3 linked regions of the Kluyveromyces lactis genome follow. The protein of the gene in region 3 interacts with the protein of the main gene of each other region in a pairwise test. Links are inferred from orthologs where the notes say so. Each region holds a gene or a part of one and is shown on either strand. Other genes may lie near its edges.

Region 1 (7,818 bases), on a different chromosome or scaffold from region 3:
TACTTACGCACTTACGCCATTTGTATAACTGATGAGTCTACACTTATGCTAATTTGTCTGTACTGACTTTAACCTTATATATCTAAATATATAGCTTTACGATAGAGAGACCCCTGTTTATGAATGATGAATCCTGTACGAAATAGACTGGATCTTGAATTCTGCTAGTCCATATTTTATTATGTATCAATGTTATATAAACTGTGCCAGTGCATATTTTTTCACAATACAATTTCGTTGTTCGATTTATCGTATCTGAATACCAAAGTGACAGTAAAAAATAAAGGATTCTTCTTCATCTTAAAACAAGGAGACGTTTTAAAGACACTAAGGGAGATATAGTCGGACAGTTTTCGAAAAAGGTCGGTAGCATAGGCATATTGTTAGATAGGACAGTGTACTAGCACATTTACGCCTTGTTAAAATAGTTACAAATTAGCTCTACATTCTCAGATGTATCAGTTTATTAAGACTCCGCACACAACAAGAACTATTGAATTTAATGGTTCTCATGGAATTGAGGTTATTATTGGGAAAGAAGTTAAGGAAGATGAAAGCAAGCATTCCAGCGAGTCCAATTTAATCTTTGATGATGATGACCTATTTGTTGAGCACGCTAAGCTTGTTGTTAAGAAACTCCCTCCGACGAATGATGAAGAGTCGCTTCCAATGAATATAGACTCATTCAGGATTTATTTAGAATCCTTAGGGGACGCGGATCGTATTGTGGATTTGGAATCAGCAGATTCCAATACAGATGGAAAGATAATTGATTTGAAAAACGGTGATAGGTTTGGGTTAGTTAGATTAGATGAGCCGGTCTCAGTGAATCAACAACGGGGAGCCAAACTCAAATTCAACTTAAATATAAGACCAGGAGCTTGGCCTTTCAACTACAGAATTGTGCTTACTGATGTGACAGATCAAAAATCGCCATGTACATCAAGGTCAAGTGACTTTCTGGACTCCATCATGCAGCATGTTTCAGACGAATCTGATTCTGAGAACGCATGGTCCAAGGCAACCGATTGGAACGAGGAAATTAAAGTTGAAATTGGCAAGGAGGATGAAGTTGTTGCTGTGGTAGATGATACTGCGCCAACGGTAGCACTCAAGCCAACCTCTGACCCCAGTACACTGAGCTCGTCCAAGGAGTCGTCTGTTTCTGGTAACTCTCACTCTCGTGCATGCATTTACATCAACAGTGACAGCGACAGCGACAGTGGCTATGATGACCATACTTTTATGGATCCAGAGAAGAAGCACCATCACTTCAAATGCCGCTATAAGAGAGGAAGAGGGAACAGATCAAGGTGGTCGACGTTTAGGGTGAATAAGGCTAAGGGGAAGAAATTTGGTAGAAAGAGAAGATTTGACTTATATAGTGGTTCATTAGGATTTATGTTGGGTTCCATTGGTACTTTGGGAGTTTTAGCTACTGTTGCAAATTTTGTCGAAGGATAAGTTTGGATTGTTCACCCAGCTGATAAATATCATTGAATGTTCCAACCCACACTCTCATAACAGTTTTTTAGAATGCTTTATTGAAGATATCAAAAGTATATATTTTGTTATTATCTATATTATATGTGATACCTCATGTCTGAAACCCAAATGAAACATATAAATGCTTGAAAACTTGAAGAGAAAAGGTCTTTATAAAGTGAAAATAGGGAAAGGAACTAGAATAGGCATCAATTCGGATTAAAAACTACACTCCCGGAGTGGTCAGTAATCCAACTCATGCAACTGAGAATGGTTGCTTCAAATAATGGAATGTTATCAAATCAAGATGAATCAACTTTTATTGATGAGCCCGCCATGAGCACTGATGGTACACAGAGAATACTACAAGTCAGTTCCCCCAAGATCGATACAGATAATCACAATATAGAGTACGAGAGTATTAAAAGCAAGGATAAGAAGAAACATAAGAAGAGGAAGAGCAAGAGGCATTCTAAAGGAAGACACAAAATGAAATATCGAGTTGACAAACCTCGGTACCACGATGATGCAAAATATGACGCTGATATTGCTGACAATAATAACGGAAAGGCATTGAATAAATTCTTCCCTGGTATCTTAATAGGAACTTTCATTGGTTCAGCTGTCACTAACTTTATATTGGAAGGGTTAAAGTAGTAAGCAAGATTTCCTTTTTCAAACCTCATCAATCGGTCTTTTCCTTGAATGGTTTCGGTATTGAGTATCACGTTGATTGAGTTGCCTATCATACCTCCTATTGGAGCGTCTATTCTGGTCATTCTTGTGATCTTTGCCTCCAAAGAGCACCTCTTTTTCTTCTTCTGTAAGTTCATATTTGAGATAATTGGCATCACCAAGTTCTTTGATGAAATCCAAGATCTTACCGTTTTCCTCTTTTAAGATTCTCTGATGAAGACCTATCGTCAAGTTTGGTTTATAATTAAACCTTTTAACTTGGTTTTGTATATTTTGAATAAAATAGCGCTCCTTTCTAGACTCCTGGAGAGGATTACGATTCAAGTCTTCGTCCTTGACGTTAAACTTTTCTCTGTACATTTCTTTCTTATTTGAAATCTTTATTAACCACATCTTCCTTCTCTCTTCTTTCCATTTTGCGATATCCTCCTCCGTTTTAAGCACTATTGAAGTTCCAGGTATATACAGATCTGATCCTTTGACGGTTTCTATGATATCTTCATCAGCAGAAGCTTCTTCTTCTTCTTCATCTTCTTCTTCTTTCCTTTTATCATCTTCATCACTTGCTATTTTATTCTCAACTAAAGCAGAATTCCTCAAATTGGTATTGGCGAACTTTTTGATAGGACCCTTCTTGGGTACTTCGATTTTGTCGTTTGCCTCTAAATTTGACTGTTGGTGCTCTATCACCTCTTCCTCTTCTTCTTCTTCCTCATCATCATAATTGATCTTGCTTGATTTTGTAACATCCACGTATGGCGGTTGCGCTTGATTAAAACCATACCAGCTCTGTTGATACTGGTGCGGATTCGGATAGAAAGGATGGTGGGTCCCATATCTCATTCCCATTGGTGCATGCTGCATAGCGGGGACACCGTATTGGTTGGGTTGATTCATCTGAGGTATCGGATAATACTGCATTCGCGTGGTTTGTAACGTATGTTGCAAAAGATTATTATTCACAGATCCGCCCTGTGAAGAGTTATTGTACACGTTTTGACCATTCATGTTGCTCGAATACTCTTCCCTGGGGCCTTTCTTCCCATCATATTCATTAATTGAACAGATAGAGATGAGATGAGATGAGATGAGATGAGATGAATAGATAATGAAAAGAAATTTCCTACGTTCACATACATAATGTTCTGGAGAAAGGTGTTGAAGTTTTAAACCGGTAACTGATGCTTCGTAAACCGTGAAACATATTCTGAAATATGTAACAGTCAAACAGGCTCATAAGGGTCCCCGCAAGTCATTCCACTGGTGCTATAGCTTTTACGCAGTGTCATCTATATCACGTGACCTTACTGATATACGTCTTCTTATTACCAATCATAAGAGAGACGGATTTTGACCAAGTTAACCACTGAGAGTAATCAGAAATCTATCCCCCAATATGTCGGCTTATAAGTTGGTGGTTATGCGGCCCCTCCATGTATGTAGTTTTATACCTCTTACTTCCATCAGCTGTGCAGTGGGTAGTCTCTCACCAACGGGTTTACCAGTGAAAATCGTATTGCAGCGGTGAATTTTTCAAGCTTCGAAACCTTGAAGACTTTTAAAGCTCAACAAAAATGTTTAAATGTTTTCAGAAAAGATTTAAAGGTACATTGAAGAACTTCTTGGTACTCGATCTGAGTTATTAGTTGGCCTCTCGTTTTCCCATTCATTCATTGTTATCCTTCTTTTTTTAGTTTGGTTTACGTTAATATTAACTCAGTAAATTATACTTCGGCAACAGTTTATAATCCCTGAATCATGTCCCAACCAGTACAGAGAGCTGCTAGTCAATCTTTGATTTCCAAATACATTAACAAGGAAACTTTAAAGTATGTCTTCACCACACATTTCTGGGGTCCAGTTTCAAACTTCGGTATCCCAATTGCTGCCATCTACGATTTGAAGAAGGATCCGGAGATGATTTCTGGACCTATGACGCTGGCTCTAGTGATGTACTCTGGTGTGTTTATGAGATATTCCCTAGCTGTTACCCCAAGGAACTTCTTGTTATTCGGTTGTCACGTTGTGAATGAAACAGCCCAACTTGTGCAAGGTTACAGATATTTAAACCATCATTATCTAGGTGGCAAGAAAGCTGACGCTACTGACGCCAATGTCGCCAAGACAGCCTAGATGCAAGAGAAAATGTAACCTGCCGACAAAACAACATTCTTTCTCCCATGGCTTAGATTACACTACTGTGTAGGTCTGTTATCTAAGATTTAATGCTAAGTTTATTTACGTACTGTATATTATATGTCTATATGTTCAATTACAGTTTATGAATTCATTTCGAAATGAAAAATAAAGTACTTCTTTCGTTCTTTATTATCAAGAGTCGAACAAACCTTTAGGTCTGTCAGCTTGTGTGGGACCCATGCCATCATCTTCTTCCTGTAGATTGAGATCTTCTTGGATTGCTTGTCTTTTCAAATTATTTAGATAAGCAGCCTTGTTCATTTCTCTTTGATGAGATTCATCTGTACCGACATTGTTCGATTCAATTGTTCCTCCCCATTCGACAGTTGTTCTCATTCTCTTTACTGGCTCGCTAATTGACGGCTCGGTTGTTGTGTTCGATGGTGTTGACTGGGAGCCAGTGTTTGAATTGGGAGTAGTGTTACTATTTTGTTTCCCCCACCTTTTAAACCTGAATTGCCTTCCTTCTTCGTCTTCGTCATCATCATCTGCTCCATCCTCATCCGTTATAAATAGTGAGCGTTTTGTATGTGGATACAGCATCTGCTTACTTTCCGGCCTTTGAAGCTTATCTGGTTTCACTACGGTATCCTTCTTGATTGGTGAAACTATCTTTTCTGGTGACAGGTTAAATTGGGTGACAGAATCCTCTGGTTCTTCGACCCTACCCTCGGTATCAGTTACCTGCACTAATTCCAATACAACCCCATCTTTTGTTATTTCAAAGAGAATGGGGTCACCAGGTTGGCAAAACCAGATTCTTATCATGTCATTTGTTTTCCAACAATTAAGTCCATTTAAGAATACTTTGAAATCTCGTAATTTGAACGTAATGCTCTTCTTAATACTTTGTGATCTGCTTGAAGGTCTCGAACCGTCGTTTTTTTCTGTTGAAAATATGCAGTAATGTTCTAGATCATTTGCGCTACATGTATTCGTTACTGTAACTGCTTGTTTGAGGTACCCTTGACTTTTCATGTTGTACACGGCTTTTGTAAATCCTATTATGGCTAGAGTATGTCTCGTCAATTCCAATTTTATTTCCTCGATCACATTAGACATAATAGAGTCAATGAAGTTTCTTAGTATTGATTGATCAAAACTTAAGAAGTTGATTTCGTCGTTAACCGTCAACGGTGTATTTTTCACTGTGCTCACAATATTGTGTTCATTGGCGATACCTCTATTAAACATATCATGTTCTAATTCTGTTTGTAAAGATTTGAAATAATCCACTAACCGAGGATCTAATGATCTGCCCTTACTTTTGTTGTTGTATACTGAAAGGAATTTTTGTTTATATTTCAGACTTAATATGATCTGAACACTTTCCAATGGATCAAAATTAACTTGATATTCTTTAGTTAGCAAAGATGCTGTCTTCATTTTGATTATGAGTTTGTTAGCTATAGTTTCAGAACAATTATCACAATTGTCGATAGTTAACATGTATTCTTTAATTGTATCCTCTTGTTTAAGTGATAATAGGGAAAGATACTTTGCATTCGCTTTGAAACTATAAATTGTGTGAAGAATGTCATTACAATCGGTGATCTGCTGCACTCCAGATTCACCAAATACAATCTTCTTCGGCTCGAAGTGATACTCTGTAAAGAACGACTTAGGAAATCGTACCTTGGCCATGGTCGTGTCTGTTGCATTCATGGATGATATCAATACACCATTTTCGGTGATTGTTATGAAGACATCAGGGTTTATTTGAGAAAGAGTTGCCAAGCATTTACCCCATATGGTCTGTTCATTCGTGCTGTTTATGGAAGCACGAAATGACATTGCAATGGCCTGTTGTCACAACTTCCAGTCAGAATCCCTTTATCTGGCGGTGATAAAAAACTCTTCACTAGATCTAAAGTTCGTGTTTTTTCTTGCAATTACGTGATTTATCTTTTTACAGATTAAATATTTGAACCTATGTCTATAAAGAAATAGTGCGAATGGATTAGTGATTATATTAATCTGTTATTATGATTCGTTTGGAGCTAGAGAAATTGCTGGAGTTGAAGCTTTTTCAGCGGGCTCTTTATATTTTTTCTTAGTCTTTTCCTTCTTACTGCCATCTTTGGTTTTCTTCTTCTTTTTCTTTTTAATAACTATGACTTCTTCTTTGTCATCTTGGATGGCTGTTAAATTGTCACTAATGTGTTGTTCTGCAAGTTTATTTTTTAGCTTTTCCAACTCCTCTTGATCAACAGTGTATTCACCGTCGTAATCAATGTTATCCTTTCGACTAAAATCAAAAGATTTGAATTTATTCGATGTGGAAAGAGTTATCGCATCTGAATGCCCAGAAGTATTTGATTTCTTCTTCCCCTCCTTTGTGATAGTGGATGGTGGAGCCACTACAATATCTGACAAAATTTGTACAGATGGTGACTTATTAGATTTCTTCTTTTTCGTCGAAATTTTGATGACGGGTTCGATTGTTTTTGTTTCACCCTCATCATCGTTATCACTCAATTCTATCAATTTCGTTTCTGCACGGTCAATTTTATCATCATTCAAATAAAACGGATTATCCAACCTCTCTTGTCTTCTGCGCTCTTCTAAAGCAGCAAGTTCTTCTTCTGTCATTGAAATGTCTTTCTCTGACGAGATATCCTGAGTTACAGATCCGTCAGAACTTCCAGCGCTTGCAGCAGATTTAACGCTCTCCTTGTCGGAATAATATGCAGCTTCATCTTCATATAGTTCTTCATTTTTCATTAATTCTTCGAGTTCAACAGAAGATAAAAATGGAGTGTCTAAATCGAGTGTTAACGCCTTAACCAACTGCTGTTGTTGTCCGTGTGACATTGGGCCAAGTTCATACTCATTGAAAAGACTAGGTAAAACGTCGGTAATTAATAGAGGTAACCCTTCCGTTTCATCTTGCAAAGCATCTTGACAGAGTTTTAACATTTCATAGAACTCTACGCTTCGTTCTTGTATATCAAAATTCGTTGATCTGTATTTTTGTTCCATGAATGCGATTAGTGTAGAAAGAAGATCTGATATTTCAGATTTGGTTCTACCCTCTGTGTTAGCATAGGTTGAGAATAATTTCACTAATGCAGGAATCATTGTCTGTATCACGGTGTCTGGAAGTTTATTGGCTTTGTTTAGGAGTATGCCAACGAGAGTGTCACAGTTATCAATTAACTCGGAATATTCCCCAAAGCACCATATTCCTTCCTTTAGTAGGTTAGGAAGCTTGGCGATAATATCATCGTTTGTAGTCAATTTGATTAATTGTTCTAAAGCCGCATCCCTCATGCTTGGAACTTTGACCATAATGTTTCTAAAGTTATCACCTAACAAAGTTGATACCTCTAAATTATTCAAATCTTGTGAAACTATACAGAGATCCGTCAATATTTTCAAGTACCAGTCGAAGTCACCATTGATATTCTCGTAATCATTTATACAACAGACATCTAA
Region 2 (7,872 bases), on a different chromosome or scaffold from region 3:
TTTTGGATGACCCAGTGTTTGCCTTTTACTTGGGTGATTCTGACAAGTCTGAAGATGGCGGTGAAGCTTCCTTCGGTGGTATCGATGAGGAGAAGTACACCGGTGAAATCACTTGGTTGCCTGTTCGTCGTAAGGCTTACTGGGAAGTCAAGTTTGAAGGTATCGGTTTGGGTGAAGAATATGCTACTTTAGAAGGTCATGGTGCTGCTATCGACACCGGTACCTCTTTGATTGCTTTGCCAAGCGGTTTGGCTGAAATTTTGAACGCTGAAATCGGTGCAAAGAAGGGCTGGTCTGGTCAATACTCCGTTGATTGTGAATCTAGAGATAGTCTACCAGACTTAACTTTGAATTTCAACGGTTACAACTTCACTATTACCGCATACGATTACACTTTGGAAGTCTCTGGGTCTTGTATCTCTGCATTCACTCCAATGGACTTCCCAGAACCAGTTGGTCCCTTGGCCATTATTGGTGATGCCTTCCTACGTAAATACTACTCCATTTATGATATTGGTCATGATGCAGTTGGTTTGGCCAAGGCTGCCTAATTGTTAAAAAAGCGATCGAATTGTAACCTTTTGAATTGGAGTTCAGCTTCTATTAACTCGACAACTCTAAAAAAATAATTAAATAAGACGGTTAACTTACTGCTATATTAATTGAATGTCAGTTTCACAAATCGAATTAGCTAACAAAGTATAACAACACTTGGTGACAAATAAACCTTAAAATACCTAAAAGAATTCTTTCCTATTTCATCATAAAACAATTGTGTTCCTTCCTCTAAATATATAGACGATGGACATTATTCAATTGGCTTTGGCTTTGGCTACCTATAAATGATTCATAAAATGTCGATAAATTGCCTTTATCAGAATCTCTTTTTCATTTCTCTCCCAAAATTCAAGTATCGATTTTAGTTACATTTTTTTTTATGTTACTTTCACAAGGTCTGTTAAAAGTAGTGAATATTTCTATAGTAGAATAGGCCTACCAAAAAATTCATATATATTTTTTCATTTTATTTGGAGCACATGCCACTCTCAACTTCTCTGATCTGTCAGGCGCCTCTTGATCCGTTCTTGATTTTGTTAACGTTGGTGTCGAGATGTGTGTGAATTGCCAACTCTCCTTGATGAAGATAGTTCTCAATTATAACTCAAATAGGTAATTTGTCAACATAATAGACATATTTCGATATCTAAAAAAAATGATAGTAAGATGAGACACAAGGTCAAACACTAATCATTAACAGTAGTCTGACATTTATCTATTTGCCCATACATCTGTCCCTGCATAATATATATGGCCTTGCTTCACATTATCTTCACTGGATCAGCTTCATACTCAAAATTTTCGTACTGTTATTATTTGTGATTAAACAATCATATTAGGACACAATATTGGATTACGCAAGGATTTGCATTGCAACGAAAATATAGCAGAGTAACACACCCTTGAGATAGCCAATCGATCATGATTACCAAACCAGTGGCACTTCCACTCCATACATCATCGTACAATTCACCCAAAAGATTGATGAGACCTCCCAGCACACCAAATCTAAGAACTTCATCAACAGTAAGGCCAAGATCAACTTCCTCGTCATCTTCGAGTCAATGTTCTTCACCAGCAAGAAGTTCTTCTACGAAGGCCGCTTCTCCAATTCGTGGCGGGAGAAGTTCATACCAGGGTACCATTTCGGTAGGGGTAAGAATCAAGCCTACTCATGGAAAACAAGATTCTTGGCACGTAAATAACAACTCCATTATTCATGAAGAGTTTGGGGAATTTAACTTCGACCATGTTTTCAGTCCGGAGATGAATAACGATCGAGTATATGAGACTATGGCATTGCCTATGATAGATAAATTATTCGAGGGATTTAATTGTACAATTTTCGCTTATGGTATGACTGGTTCAGGTAAGACATATACCATGAGTGGATCCAAATCAGGTCCTGGTATAATACCCATGTGCGTTGACACTATTTTCGATCGTATCAATGTGGGATTACCTCGCAAAAAGTTTACTGTCAGAGTATCCTATTTGGAAATTTACAACGAGAGAATATTTGATCTATTGAATTTACCACAGGGCAAAACTTTAAATAGCAATATTATGGTGCCCAGTTCGACATTGACTAATGATCTTAAGCTTCGAGATGACTTGAAATACGGGGTTAAAGTTGTTGGTTTAGTTGAGAGAAATGTTAGCAGTAATAAAGAGTTAATGAAGTGCATATCGATTGGAGATCATAACCGTAAGACTGGAGAGACTGATTTTAATACAAGATCCTCTAGATCTCACGCTGTGGTCCTTATCCGTGTATTCTGCACCGATGAAATAACTGGCGAGCAAGTGATGAGTACATTATCTCTGTGTGATTTAGCTGGGTCCGAAAGAGCTACGGGGCAACAAGAAAGAAGGAAAGAGGGAGCTTACATCAACAAATCGTTATTAGCTCTTGGAACAGTGATATCTAAATTGAGTATGGAAAGTTCGGGCCTTTCTACAAATGTAGGCCATATTCCATACAGAGATTCCAAGTTAACAAGAATATTACAACCTGCACTAAGCGGGGACTCGTTAGTCGCTACCATATGTACTGTGGATACAAGGCCCGAGACAAGTACGGAATCTATCAATACGATACGGTTCGCCAGCAGGGCAAAAAACATCAGTTTGGCTGTAAAGCGTAACGAAGCCGACAGCAACGTAAGCAAGAGCCAATTAATCCAAACATTGCGGAAACAAGTACGAGAACAGCAAATAACCATCGACAATTTGACCAGGGGGAAAGGTTTCATTGGATCCGGAATAAGTTCAGATACATCACTACTAAGGGAGAACGAGCTTCTAAAGATGAAGGTAGAACATTATGAAAGACTGGAAACGTTAGAACCTAGTATCTTGAAAGATACCGAATTAGTGGAAATCATTGACATGCTCCCACAGGATATTGGTGTGATGTTAGAGACAAAATTGGTCAACATGGACTCTCAATTACAAGAGTCGAAGAGGTATATATCACAGCTAGAGAGTGCAAGGACTCGAGATGCTTCTGCCACTGCAGCCACTGCAGAGTTGCTGTCCAATGTATCAGATATCGATTTGACACAAGTGTTACATGAACAAGAGCAAGAATTGATGCAGTTGCATCAATCTCTTGAAAGGAAGGATAAAATGATAGAAGCGTTGAAGAGCGCGAAGAGACTAAGACAACAACTTGCAGAGTACACGGGAGAAGCTGTGTCTGCTACTGACTCCGACATTGAGATTGGAACCGCAACTGCTGCTAACGTTCTCAAACCGATATCGCCGAATGCCAGCGATTTGAACAGACAAGAAAGACCAATTACGATTGGAAGCGGTACAAGTATCACAACTACCAGCGACAGCAGCGGTACTGGCAGTGATTACCTAAAACCCGTACCGAAGTACTCCATTGCATCAGATGTATTTCCGAAATCAGTTCTATAGGGTGTCTAACAGCAGAAACACCCGATTTCACATCAAAGAAGGTCGAGCATTCTGCTGAAGCTCGAATGTATGCACCTTGCAACGCTTCGAGGGTCTCAAAAACACGCTCTTAGAAAAACTAGCACTGAGGAAAATCAAAAAGAAATTTTATATCCAATTTCACCCGGCAACAAAACTAGATAGGAAAGAACTTATGAGTAACAACATCTTCTAAAGACAAAAAATACGAACCTACAGAATCAGTAAGCAACGGTTAATAAGTAACACATAGACACAGAAACACACCTGCTTCTGTTTTTGTAATCTTCCTTTCTCCCATTTTATCTTCCCTCGAGGTCTCCCAGTCCGGACTGCGAAACTTCCCTAATTTTTTCATTTTTACGCTTTTTGATTTACGTGATTTTCTCGTGGAACATGTCTTATTCCTTACTCCCTGTACCTCAATTGGGATTTCCGACTCTTGCCTGATCCCCAATAACAGTCGGGGATATTATTCGGGCTGTGTCCTGCGCATGTTTTAGTGTTTTTTATCAGCAATTTGGTGTATTATTTCGATTTTCCTTTGATTTTCCAAAAGGAACCACCAATAAATCGAGGAATGAAACTAGATACGTTAGTTCTGTGCGAACCTTTCTGTGACTTTTTTCATAACTTCTCTCGCTTTACAAAACAAGGCTTCGAGAAATAAAGTTGGGGTAACCAAGTTTTTCTGAAGAAAGTACCAAAGGAAAGCATAATCACATTTATAAACACACACATATATATATATGTAGGTATGTCTATATAGTTACATTTATAAAGGTATCCCAACCTTTCTCTTGTTGCATGTGGTTAGGTATATGTTTTTATGCGTAGTGCAACGCGAAAATTGACAATAAATCATTGTGAAATATGGGTCTCAGATCCGGTAAGACAAGTAAGAAGGGCAATAGATTAGTGGTAACCTCGCTTGTGTTGTTTAGTGTCGTTTTGCTTATCCTGTACAGTGTCGGTAGCGATGAGTCGTTTATGAATTACAAGCAGTTTTCGCTTGGAACTTTGCAGATTGGTGCCGAAGATGATTCTGATGTAAGTGCACTACCAAGTATTGATGGTAGCATTAGTAGCATTAGTAGTGGAATCAACTATGCTTCTACGAATATTGCTGCAGATTCTATTGTGGAGGAGAAACTTGTGATCAACGAAGCTGAAGGTACTAAGCGGATGGAACTACGTAAACACAAGGTCCTGTCACCTAAGATGACGGCTCCTCTGGAATCCGAAGTAGCACCGGTAATAGTTGAACACGGCGGATCCAGTGGAACTGGTGGAATCACTGTTAGTAATGAGCGGTTCAGTCCAAGCTTAGGATTTCAGCAGATCTTGAATACTTCGCCAGTGATTCTTTTCATAAAATCTTCTGAGAAAAACTCTGTGGATTTGAAGAATGTTTTGACGTTAGAGTACACTTTTTCTCCAGAGATTATTGTTGTTGACTTGGACAAACATCAATTTGGTGACTCTATGCAAGAATATATCCAGTTGAATAGGCTAGCAACTTATAAATCAAACTATGGAGAATCTTCGAAATCTCCTGATGTCCCATATTTATTCATTAATGGCGTTTCCTTAATCAACAAATCTTTGAAAGACGATATATTGAACAAGCATGCAGACGGGTCCCTTCTATCAAAGCTTAGACACGTTGCTGATAGTAAGGTATCTATTTCAAAGGTGGATATCCCATCCAACTCTTGAGTTCCTTGCATTTTTGGTGGTTATTTGCTTGTATGAACAAAGTAAAGAATCATTTTAATGAGTGTTTTATGACGACCTATATTTCTCGCTTCTCGCATTTTACTACTATTTTTGGGCTCCTGCGGAAAGGAAGCCATTTTCCATTACTTTTGTTTCCATTTTATATGTATTATAATTTCTATAATAATACTTGAGGTGATCAGTATACTAATATTTCAATCTACAAAAAGTCCATTAAGCACTCAAGTGTGAAACACAAGTGTGAAATACAAATGTTTCAATACAAATCCTCCATTTTAATTTCAAGATCTTTCGATGATCTTTTATTATTTAATTCATGCGATTCCTCTTCCTCTATTTCTGTTGGATAGTACTCAGAAAAATCATAGAATGGTCTCCCCCAAAATGCAAGTATTCCTTTCATGTAACCGTTATCCTTAACATAAACAACTTTACATTTTTCATCAGGGCCTAATAAGTCATGAGTAATTGAGGACAACTGATCAAGATCTGAGTTTCTCGGTAGAAACAAAACTACATTCTGACATACAGAGAAGAAAACGCTAAGTATCTTTGATAATGGCGACGGCTGTAAATGTTCTTCGAGGTCATAAGTGTCCTGTCTCAAATAGTCAACACCACCCCACGGAGGTGAAGCAAATATGCAATCGGGTGTTTTTCCCAAGTTCTTGACTAAAGTCTTTTTCAATGATTCTTCCCAGTCACCATATATCAGTTTAAGCTTGACAGCAGAATTGTAACACTCAGCATTCTTATAGGCACAATACAAATGGTCGATATTTGAATCTATCCCGTAAACTTTCTCAAATAATCTTGCAAACTGAATGGTATTACCACCGCCTCCACAAAACACATCAACAATACAATTTCCATTGGGTAGACAATGCCTAACATAATTTGCAGTAAACTGTGCAAGATTTTCGGGTGTGACACTAAACCACAATTCGTCTGTTAAATATATGTTACCATTATTTATGAGCTTGAAAATGGTTGCCCTATTTTTCCAGAACTTGAATAATTTCTTATCATTCGGCCTTTGGTAAGGGTTTATTCTGTAACTATCATCGAAGAAATGTTTCTTTAATCGATGCCTTACTTTTATATTGTTTATTCCATCTATTCCTTCAAAACATCCAAGATCTTTTGGCGTCTTTAAGAGCCACGACATCTGGCTTTAAATAAATATCTTAATGACTTGGACAACAGTTCTGCTCCATTATTTTAAACTATAACTATATTATGTGTTGTTTTTACTATCCCATCTCATCGCATCTCTCTGCATTAATTTTGTTAAATTTATAAAATGATGGTTGCAGAAAAGAAATCCAATATAGAAAGGAACTATTAGCAAGTGCCATCTCCAAGATGTGTGATTTTACCAACATCTGACCTGCATCTACAAACCCTTGCCTTTCTAGTTGTTAACAATGCGGCATGTCTGCATTTACTTTAGGTGTAAAGTAGAGAATACCTCTCTCTTGTAGCCCCGCTTTGCTGAAAACTTTGACATAGAACGAATACTCTTCAACAAAAAAGGATATAGGGGTACTTCATCTCCCACCGTTCCAAAAAGAGTACAGTAGACTCTGTTCTGAAGTTATACCTGTAGATAAACCGTTGAATGTAACTGTTTACCAGAATATGGTAAAGTCAGTTAGTTCTTCGGTTGTCAGCTTGATTTAATATCATAGCGAATTTCAAGTTTTCGAGTTCCTTCGTCATTAACCAGAAAATATAATGGATTTGGCACTAAAGTAATTACATAAAATGGTAGTGAAATACATCAAGACAAAATACTGATAAAAGAAAGCAGGTTATCATTGTTCTGCTATTATTCTGAAACAGTCTTAACTTAGTTTTGAGATGACGATACATTATGTGACACCAAATATATATTGGTACAAAATGCAACAAATATCTGGTATTCTAAAAGTATATATATAAACTCAGTTCATGATGATAATCTAGGCACTCTGATGTTAAGAGAATTATAGATGGGCAGGCTGTCACTTGGGCTGAATGAATAATTTCCTTTCAAGATATCCTTATGAGTAAGATGTTGTGAAACAGGTCACGTGTGTATTCCATCGTGGTGTACGGATGAGATTTCTGCCCAGCATCTAATTTCCCTTTTCATTACGAACCCAGCATGAAATTTAGCATGTCTTTGCAGATAAGGGCAAGCTGATACAAGGTCAGCAATATTTGCTATTCCAGTAGAGTGTCGTATGCGGCCTCTAGTAAATATGGCTGGCCCTGCAACTAATCATTGATACTGAATCAGGTCAGCTTGTTCCTTAAATTGTTGTCTGGTATCATCCTTTCAGTATCTATATATATATATATATATATATATTTGAAGGAATGAATGAAGAACTTGAATAAGCTGAATGGGGAAAGCGATTCCACGATTGTATGAGTCTTTTTTGTCATCATGAGCCACTTGCGTAACCTTTCCTGGTGCAAGCTTCGTAAAATATCTTAAAAGCGTTACTCAAAATTACGTGCAATACTGTTATCATCGAATACTCTAGCTGGTAAATACTGAATTACCGAATAAATGATCAGAACTCCCACAAGAACCAAAACCAAGTCCTATAATGGATCTCAATCAGAATTTAGGTTCCC
Region 3 (7,924 bases):
TAAAAAGTCTTTGGCCGAACAAATCGCAGACATTGCGAATAAACCACAAGTTGAAGATTTCGACATTGAGAATGATGAAGGTGTATTTCAACATGGTGGGTCCGATTCAGATGTTAGTTCTGGCGATGAGAGCGAAGAAGAGTTGAAGAAACAGCATTATGTGGCAGTAGGAAAGTCAAAACTTAGAAATGTGGTCGATCAAGGATTGGCCGTAAAGGATAAGAAATACGTCGGGAGCAAAGGGTCTAGAGCAGAACTGTTCAATGACGAAGAAATGGACGCTCCTGAACAAGGAGAAAGTGAGTCTGAAGCTGAATCCGGATCTGAAGAGAGTGATGCAGTATCCTTTAGAAGCGATTCAGAAGATGTATCCGAATCTGAAGCCACTTCCGAGTCAGAAATAGAGAAAGATAGAGAGGAAGATGAGGAGACTGCGATGAAGAAAGAGAAATTGGCCAAGATAGTACAGACGCAAACTAAACAAGTGATTAATAATTTAGCACATTCCGCTCAGAGAGATGCTTCCAAAGGTTATGCCATCTTACAACAGAATAAATTCTTCGATAAAATTCTAGACTCTAGAATTAAGTTGCAAAAAGCATTATCCGCTTCAAACCAGTTACCACTTTCTCAACAATCTTGGGATGAACTTCTAGATGAAAATAACTCCAAATTGCTAACTAGTACTTTCAAAGTTTTAGAGAAAGTTTTGACCCAGTGTGTTACAGTAAGGCATAAATTCCAAATCGGTGATCACATAAACCAATCTGAGAACCCTTCTGACTTCGATAACAGCAAAAAGAGAAGTTTTAAGGAACTAGTACATGAAACTGTAACATTGGATTCTGATTTAAAATCATACCGTTCTGCCGTACTTAACAAATGGTCAGCAAAAGTTTCTGCATCATCAGGAAAATCTCTTCTGCAAGCCTCCAAGTTTAAAGCGATCAACCAGTCAGCTGATGTACAAGTGGATAACCAACTTGCTGATATGCCAAGATTACTTAAAAGGACAAAACTCAATAGAAGCAATACTAAACCTTTGTTGTTTGATGAAGATTTACAAAAAGGTCTACTAAAAGAATTGCAACTGGAGGAAAACGTAGAAGGAGACATCGAAGAAGAAAATAATTTGGATATTCCAAAGAATTACGATCCAAGAAGGAAGGATAACAATGCATTAGATTTTACCCAAAACCCATATATCTATGATGACGAAGATTTTTACAGAGTTTTGTTGAATGATCTTGTTGAGAAAAAAATATCTAACTCTCAACAATCCAATGGTGTTACTTTGGCCATCACTTCTCGCTCTGAAAACAAGCTCAAGAAAAACATCGACACCAAGGCTTCAAAGGGTCGTAAACTAAATTACTCTATTCAAGAACCAATTGCCAATTATGAAGCATCAGTTAATACTGGGTATAAATGGTCGGATGAGCAAATTGATGAATTCTTTGCTGGTTTATTAGGTCAAAAGATCAACTTCAATGAAGACGATGAATTGGAAGCTGACACGATGCACAACGAGGAAGACGAAGAGATCAAAAATGACGATATTCAAATTTTCGGATAATTTGGAGTTCGACCTTCAACTTGTATTTATTTTTCATCTATTGTTTATTATTATAATTAAAATATGTACACGGCATTCAAAATGTCCAACAAACTGACATCGACAAATCAAACATCGATAATATTGCTCATGTTACTTGCCATACTCTCTAAGTCAACCTCATTTTCTTCTTTTTCTCTTCTATGGCATTCTTCCACTATGTTTTCCCAATTGGAATTGAAAACACAATAGCTCAAAGCAAACGCCAGTAATAAGATCCCGGTACCGCATCCGTACCAAAGCCCTTTTAATCCCAACTGAAATTTACCAAAAGTTAGCCATCCACTTAAAGGCAATGCGATAAAATAGTATGCTATGATATTTAACAGGCTGCCAACTTGCTGCCGTCCTTGTGCACGTAATATCGCAGCGCTAAAAGTTGTGAATGCATCATATAATTGGTTAACTGCCAAAATTGGAGCGACATGACGATATAACTCAACGACCTCTTTGTCTTTAGTGAACAAATACGCTAAATTCTTGTCACCTGTTAAAATCAAACAACAATTCGCAATCCCTACAAACGCTGCTATCACGTACGACGTATTAATACAGATCTTCGCGTTGTTGACCGATTCTGTCCCAACATAATTAGCAACCCTTGTGGAAACTACGCAACCCATTGCGAATGGGATTTGATATATCAAAGATCCTATGTTCGATACGACTGATTGTGCTGCTATAGCCTTGACACCGAGATATGTAGACATAATAGTCAATACTTCGAAAGAAAGGTACTCTGCTTCAATCATGAGTAAACCAGGAAATGCCAAATTCCACATAGGTTTCCAGCTGCAAAATAATCTTTTAAAGTGGAACATTGAAGAGAACATGGGATACCAACAAATCAGAGTTTCCTTTCTCCAAAATTTGCAATAAACCAGTAGCATTAAGGCCATAAACCAGTGCGATATGGCGATACCTAGAGGAGCACCAGCATATCCAATGTAACGAGTAAATGAATACACTAGAATAATATTAACTGGAACTGTAATCAACAAGGAGTATGTTCCTGCTTGGAAATGGCCCTGTGATTGAAGGAATCTCTTACCAGTTTCGAAAAAAATCAGCCCTGGCAACCCAAACGATATTATTCTCAAGAAAAGTTGTATCTCTGGGAGGATATCCTGTTCAGCAATCACATAACCTAACCATGAAGCACTGAACCACCATGATATAATCACAGGGAAAATACCTGTCATTATCATCGCTGCACAACGGAATGAATATAAACCAACTTTTGCATATTTCTTGGCACCATACGCTTGTGAGCAAAAGGTATCCAAAGAAGTGGCCATACCCTCCACAAATGCTAAACCAGTAATATTGTAAGTCATTACCGCCAAAGATGCGGAAGCTAAGGCATCACTTGATTTACAGACATGACCGATGACAAATAAAGAAATAATAGCCAAAGAGTATTCCATTAGAAAAGTTAATGTAATTAGAGCGGAGTTGCTTAAGATATAGGAGACTTCATTCCTAGAGCTTGTTGGGGCAGTAAGATCCTCTATGAAGTCTTCGTCAATAAAGTCATCGCGATCTGCATCTGGACTCATTAGTCGATATCGATTGTCTATGGCATCGCCAGAAGATGCAGATTCTCCATCACTTTCATATCTAGTATTGTCATTGATTGTATCGTATCGCGGTCTATCCATAGAGTCACAGAGATACTCACTCTCTTGATTCATGTCTAGTTGTTTCAACTAACCTGTAATGCCCTTCTTTATCTTAAAACCAGTTTGAATGTCCATTAACAGTGGAATGAAAAAAACTAATCTCCAGAATTAAAGGTATTAATACCCAAAATGTTGTATTGAGCCAGGCAGTATGGATTGAACGGCCACCGAGCACGTTCCGATGACACGAACCTTTTATTCGTCTTGGTGTACATATAATTGATCCTTATCTACGTTGAAAAAGCACTAGTTTTGATAATCGCTAATAAGAATTTGATTGTGAAATTCTATATTATCGCTTAGCAGATAACTGCGATAGGAACAAAAAAAACAAAAGAATAAGAAAGTACATACCGTCAATTAGGTGCAATGTCATTTCTTCTTCGACCATTGAATGATAGCAGCTCGAACAACTCCAACAACGTTATAAGAATAAGCCCAGAACCATGTTTTGTCGTAAAATCTAAGGTAATAAACCCTGGTACTACATCGCTATCAAGCAATGCAAAGATATTCATCAACATTTGCCATAATGACCAGATACCCTTACCTGAAATCGATTTCAACCCCGCCATAGTATATCCCCTAATAATCAACAACCAATGGGAAATACCAATCGTAACCTCCTCAATAAGGGAGGATGTTGACAAAAAGGGCAACGTCTGCTACGTGAGCGATTGTTGTATAAACACCAAATGCGTTTCATGGATCCAGCATGATTTACAACTAAGAGAAATCGTAGTTGAATGGTGCTTAGAATCCTGTGAATTGCGAGCGGAGCTCGAAATATCAAGGGATAATATAAGTTTCCCTAAGCTGAAGAAGAAAGGTGATACTATACCTGAACTAGAAATACTGCGAGAAGACCTAACAGAGAATTATGAAGAAACCATCAATGATTTGGTAAATAGGGAACAAAAAGAACCTGTTAGTATTATCGAAAAGAGGCGAGACTTTCTTGCAGAAGACGAACCTTCGACGGGTGAACTGCCGCCATTAATTCCTATCGACCAATCTTCCCGTAGAAAACCTTTAATAGAGGAAATCGAGGATCTTTCACTGCATGAAACCAAGAAACCCAAGGTTGAAGAAATACAAAAAAAAAGTATATCATATGAACTTAGTATGGGCAAACCCAAAGACACCTCAGAGTTTCTCTTAAAGATAGAAGTGACCTCGGAGCTTAACTCTAGTCTTGATTACAATATCAAATATGATGCTAAAAGTAATAAACTCATCATAAAGAATACTAATCTAGGTATTTATCCCGAGAAGAAACTCAAGGTTCCATTACCTGATATATTTAATAATCCTCCAAAATTAGAGTGTTTCTTTGTGAAGCCTGAGCGCAGATTAATAATATTTTTATAAAATCTCAATATGGCCGTATATATATATAAATTGATGCAAGATGTTCGATTATCTATATATGCTTTTATTAAAGGGCTACGTGTATGAGAGTTAAACGTAACATGTAAAGTATATTTTCATTCACTTTAGGTTAATGAGGAGGGAATGCTAAATTTTCCCTATGAGCTACGTATTCACTATCAGCATAGCCTAGAATATCTTCAATCTGATCACTTTGCAGACCTTTAATTTTTGATAACTCTGTGCTTGTATAGTTGCAACGAGCCCTACCTACTGTTTTCAGTGCAACGGATTTATCCAAATTTCCATCTGAATCCCTGACTCCCAATTTTATATCTATACATTCATGTTCATGGAAGCTCCCTTGGACTTCAATAACGCCTGCAGGTAACAAACCAGCTTTGTTTTTCCTCGTTAACGCTTCGTATGCACCAATGTCTATAATTACAGCGCCTTGACTGACGAGTCCATGAAGCATCCAGAATTGTCTGTTCTTCAAGTGATGATGATTACTATTGGCAATAAACCTAGTATGAAGAGGAACATGATTATTAACTAAACTTTGCATCTCAGTGAGTTGTAGGTCAGCCAAATCTTGTGTAAGTTCATTCACGCCATCGTCCCTTTCCTGCATGTAGAGAACAATTTTGGAAATGTTTTCTGGAGTGTCGCTCTTCATAATGATGGTATGGACACCAGCATTGGTTGCTAATTCTGCCGCAATAAGCTTAGTCTTCATACCACCAGTTCCAACATCTGATCCAGATCCACCGTCTGTGTTCACACCTGGCAATCCTTGTGATATATCTGGAACAACCAAGATAGGTTTTGCATCGGGATTTGCTCTTGGATTATCAGTGTATAAACAGTCAACATCTGTCAATAAAAATAGATAATCAGCACCAGTCAACGCTGCTGTGATAGCTGATAATGTATCATTATCACCAAATTTGATTTCGCTCACAGATAAAGTGTCATTCTCATTAACGATTGGCACTACTCCCATGGAAAGTAATTCACTAATAGTATTCTGTGCATTCTTATACTGAGTCCAATCAACAATGTCATTTCGAGTAATTAGGATTTGAGCAATTCTCTGATCAAATTCAGAGAACAAGGAATCCCACCTCCCAATTAATCTGCCTTGGCCCACAGCTGCGATTGCTTGCACCTTGGATAGTTTCTTTGGCCTTCCCTTCATATTCATCGTTTTCAATCCGACGGCGATACCTCCACTAGATACAATGATAACTTTGTGTCCTCTTCTGCGTAACTTTACCACAGTCTCCACAATCAATGACATGATAGAAAGTTTTGGTTCTTTGGTCTCTTCATCAACTAGTGATGAAGATCCCAATTTTATGACTATGACGAACTGCTTTACCATCTGAACTTGTTGGAAAACGTTCTTCTTCTCGCGGTCCGTAGAAACCTTTGGTTACAGAAATTTCAGGCCAGATTGACTAATAGCTGCTGCTCACAGACAGTACACTATGTTTATATCTGTTTTGCAGATGCAGTTATTCATCTTTTCAAATGGTCTGCAGATGTCATCGAAACATTTACTTTCAGTTTCTGTGAATTTTTAAATATTCACCGGTTCTTCAAAATATAGGTAACTATCATTACTAAGAACACTGGAAACAGACGAGCGTAGGTGGGCATACTAGCACTCTTCAGTCACACCTGAATCTGAAACGTTTAAATATCGGGGATAGATAATAAATGAACGTTTTTGACGAGATATTGCAACCCACTGTGGTTAATAAATGCTTACATGGGAATTTTACGTCAGCGGAAAGGGAAGAATACGTTGTTGCAAGAACCAATGTTCTCTCTGTATTCAGGGTCTCGCGAGCACAAAAGCTTGTACTTGCATATGAATGGAAACTAGCAGGTAAAATCATAGATATGCAATTACTGCCCCAAATTGGATCGCCTCTTAAGATGCTTGCAATACTTTCGTCGAAATCCAAAGTATCGTTGGTAAGGTTTGACCCAGTGGCAGAGAGTCTTGAAACACTAAGTCTGCATTATTATCACGACAAATTTGTCAATTTAAGCACTTCTTCTTTGAAGACGGAGTCCATTATGGCAGTGGATCCATTGTTTAGATGTCTTCTGGTTTTTAATGAAGATGTTTTAGCTATATTGCCATTGAAACTGAACACAGAAGATATGGAAATTGATGAGGATGAGAACGGAATAAAAGAGCCAATGGCTAAACGCTTAAAAAGGAACCAAGGAATCACATCCGATAGTATAATAATGCCAATTTCTAGCCTTCACAAGAGTCTCAAGCATGTCTATGATATAAAATGGTTAAATAATTTCAGCAAGCCAACTGTGGGAATATTATATCAACCGGTACTTGCGTGGTGTGGAAATGAAAAAGTACTTGGAAATACTATGAGGTACATGGTTTTGAGTTTAGATGTCGAAGATGAAAAAACCACCGTGATTGCTGAGCTTGCAGATCTTCCGAACGACCTGCACACCTTGGTTCCACTGAAGAGGGGATATGTGTTGATTGGTGTCAATGAATTATTATATATCAGTGCATCTGGTGCACTACAATCGTGCATACGATTGAACACATTTGCAACGTCTTCAATCAATACAAGGATAACTGATAATTCTGACATGAATATCTTTCTATCAAAGAGTTCAATATATTTCTATAAAGCTTTGAAAAGACATGATTTGCTTATTTTGATAGATGAAAACTGCAGGATGTACAACATTATTACAGAATCAGAGGGTAATCTACTTACCAAATTTGACTGTGTACAAGTACCGATTGTTAACGAGATCTTCAAAAATTCAAGATTGCCGTTGTCGGTATGTGGTGATCTCAACTTAGAAACTGGCAGAGTTCTTATAGGTTTTCTCTCAGGTGATGCAATGTTTCTGCAACTTAAAAACTTGAAAGTGGCATTTGCAGCAAAACGACAACTTGTTGAAACTGTTGATGACGATGACGATGAATACAGTGCACTTTATGGAGAGTCTCAAAATAATACTCACACCAGAATCGTCGAAACACAAGAGCCTTTCGATATATCATTGTTGGACTCCATTTTCAATATCGGTCCTCTAACATCTCTTACTATTGGTAAGGTCGCATCTGTTGAACCAACTATTCAGAGACTTCCCAATCCTAACAAAGATGAATTCTCAATTGTAGCTACATCTGGAGTTGGGAGGGGATCTCACCTCACTGCATTGCATTCCACTGTCCAGCCCCACATAGAAC

The links.
Region 1: the proteins of PIH1 (region 3) and RSA1 interact in a two-hybrid assay, tested with the Saccharomyces cerevisiae proteins (2 studies listed by BioGRID). The link is inferred for Kluyveromyces lactis from reciprocal best matches to the Saccharomyces cerevisiae genes PIH1 and RSA1.
Region 2: the proteins of PIH1 (region 3) and PRM4 interact in binary tests that used the Saccharomyces cerevisiae proteins (3 or more experiments, as listed by UniProt). The link is inferred for Kluyveromyces lactis from reciprocal best matches to the Saccharomyces cerevisiae genes PIH1 and PRM4.

Annotation. Positions count from the first base shown.
Region 1 is NC_006041.1:1,719,587-1,727,404, forward strand, and holds RSA1 (Rsa1p), read right to left. Parts: upstream 3,190-7,818; coding exon 2,161-3,189; downstream 1-2,160. Other genes in the region: KLLA0_E19295g (uncharacterized protein), read left to right, coding at 454-1,464; KLLA0_E19317g (uncharacterized protein), read left to right, coding at 1,744-2,142; pyruvate transporter MPC1, read left to right, coding at 3,940-4,314; DDC1 (Ddc1p), read right to left, coding at 4,513-6,174; APL5 (Apl5p), read right to left, coding at 6,364-7,818. UniProt on the Saccharomyces cerevisiae protein: Involved in a late nucleoplasmic step of 60S ribosomal subunit assembly.
Region 2 is NC_006040.1:508,234-516,105, forward strand, and holds PRM4 (pheromone-regulated protein PRM4), read left to right. Parts: upstream 1-4,377; coding exon 4,378-5,223; downstream 5,224-7,872. Other genes in the region: PEP4 (proteinase A), read left to right, coding at 1-551; KIP2 (Kip2p), read left to right, coding at 1,480-3,486; TGS1 (RNA methyltransferase), read right to left, coding at 5,501-6,412; AIM44 (Aim44p), read left to right, coding at 7,805-7,872.
Region 3 is NC_006039.1:881,775-889,698, reverse strand, and holds PIH1 (Pih1p), read left to right. Parts: upstream 1-3,666; coding exon 3,667-4,668; downstream 4,669-7,924. Other genes in the region: rRNA-processing protein BFR2, read left to right, coding at 1-1,576; ERC1 (Erc1p), read right to left, coding at 1,684-3,309; PRO1 (glutamate 5-kinase), read right to left, coding at 4,799-6,055; cleavage/polyadenylation factor CFT1, read left to right, coding at 6,394-7,924. UniProt on the Saccharomyces cerevisiae protein: Involved in pre-rRNA processing and required for the NOP58-snoRNA interaction.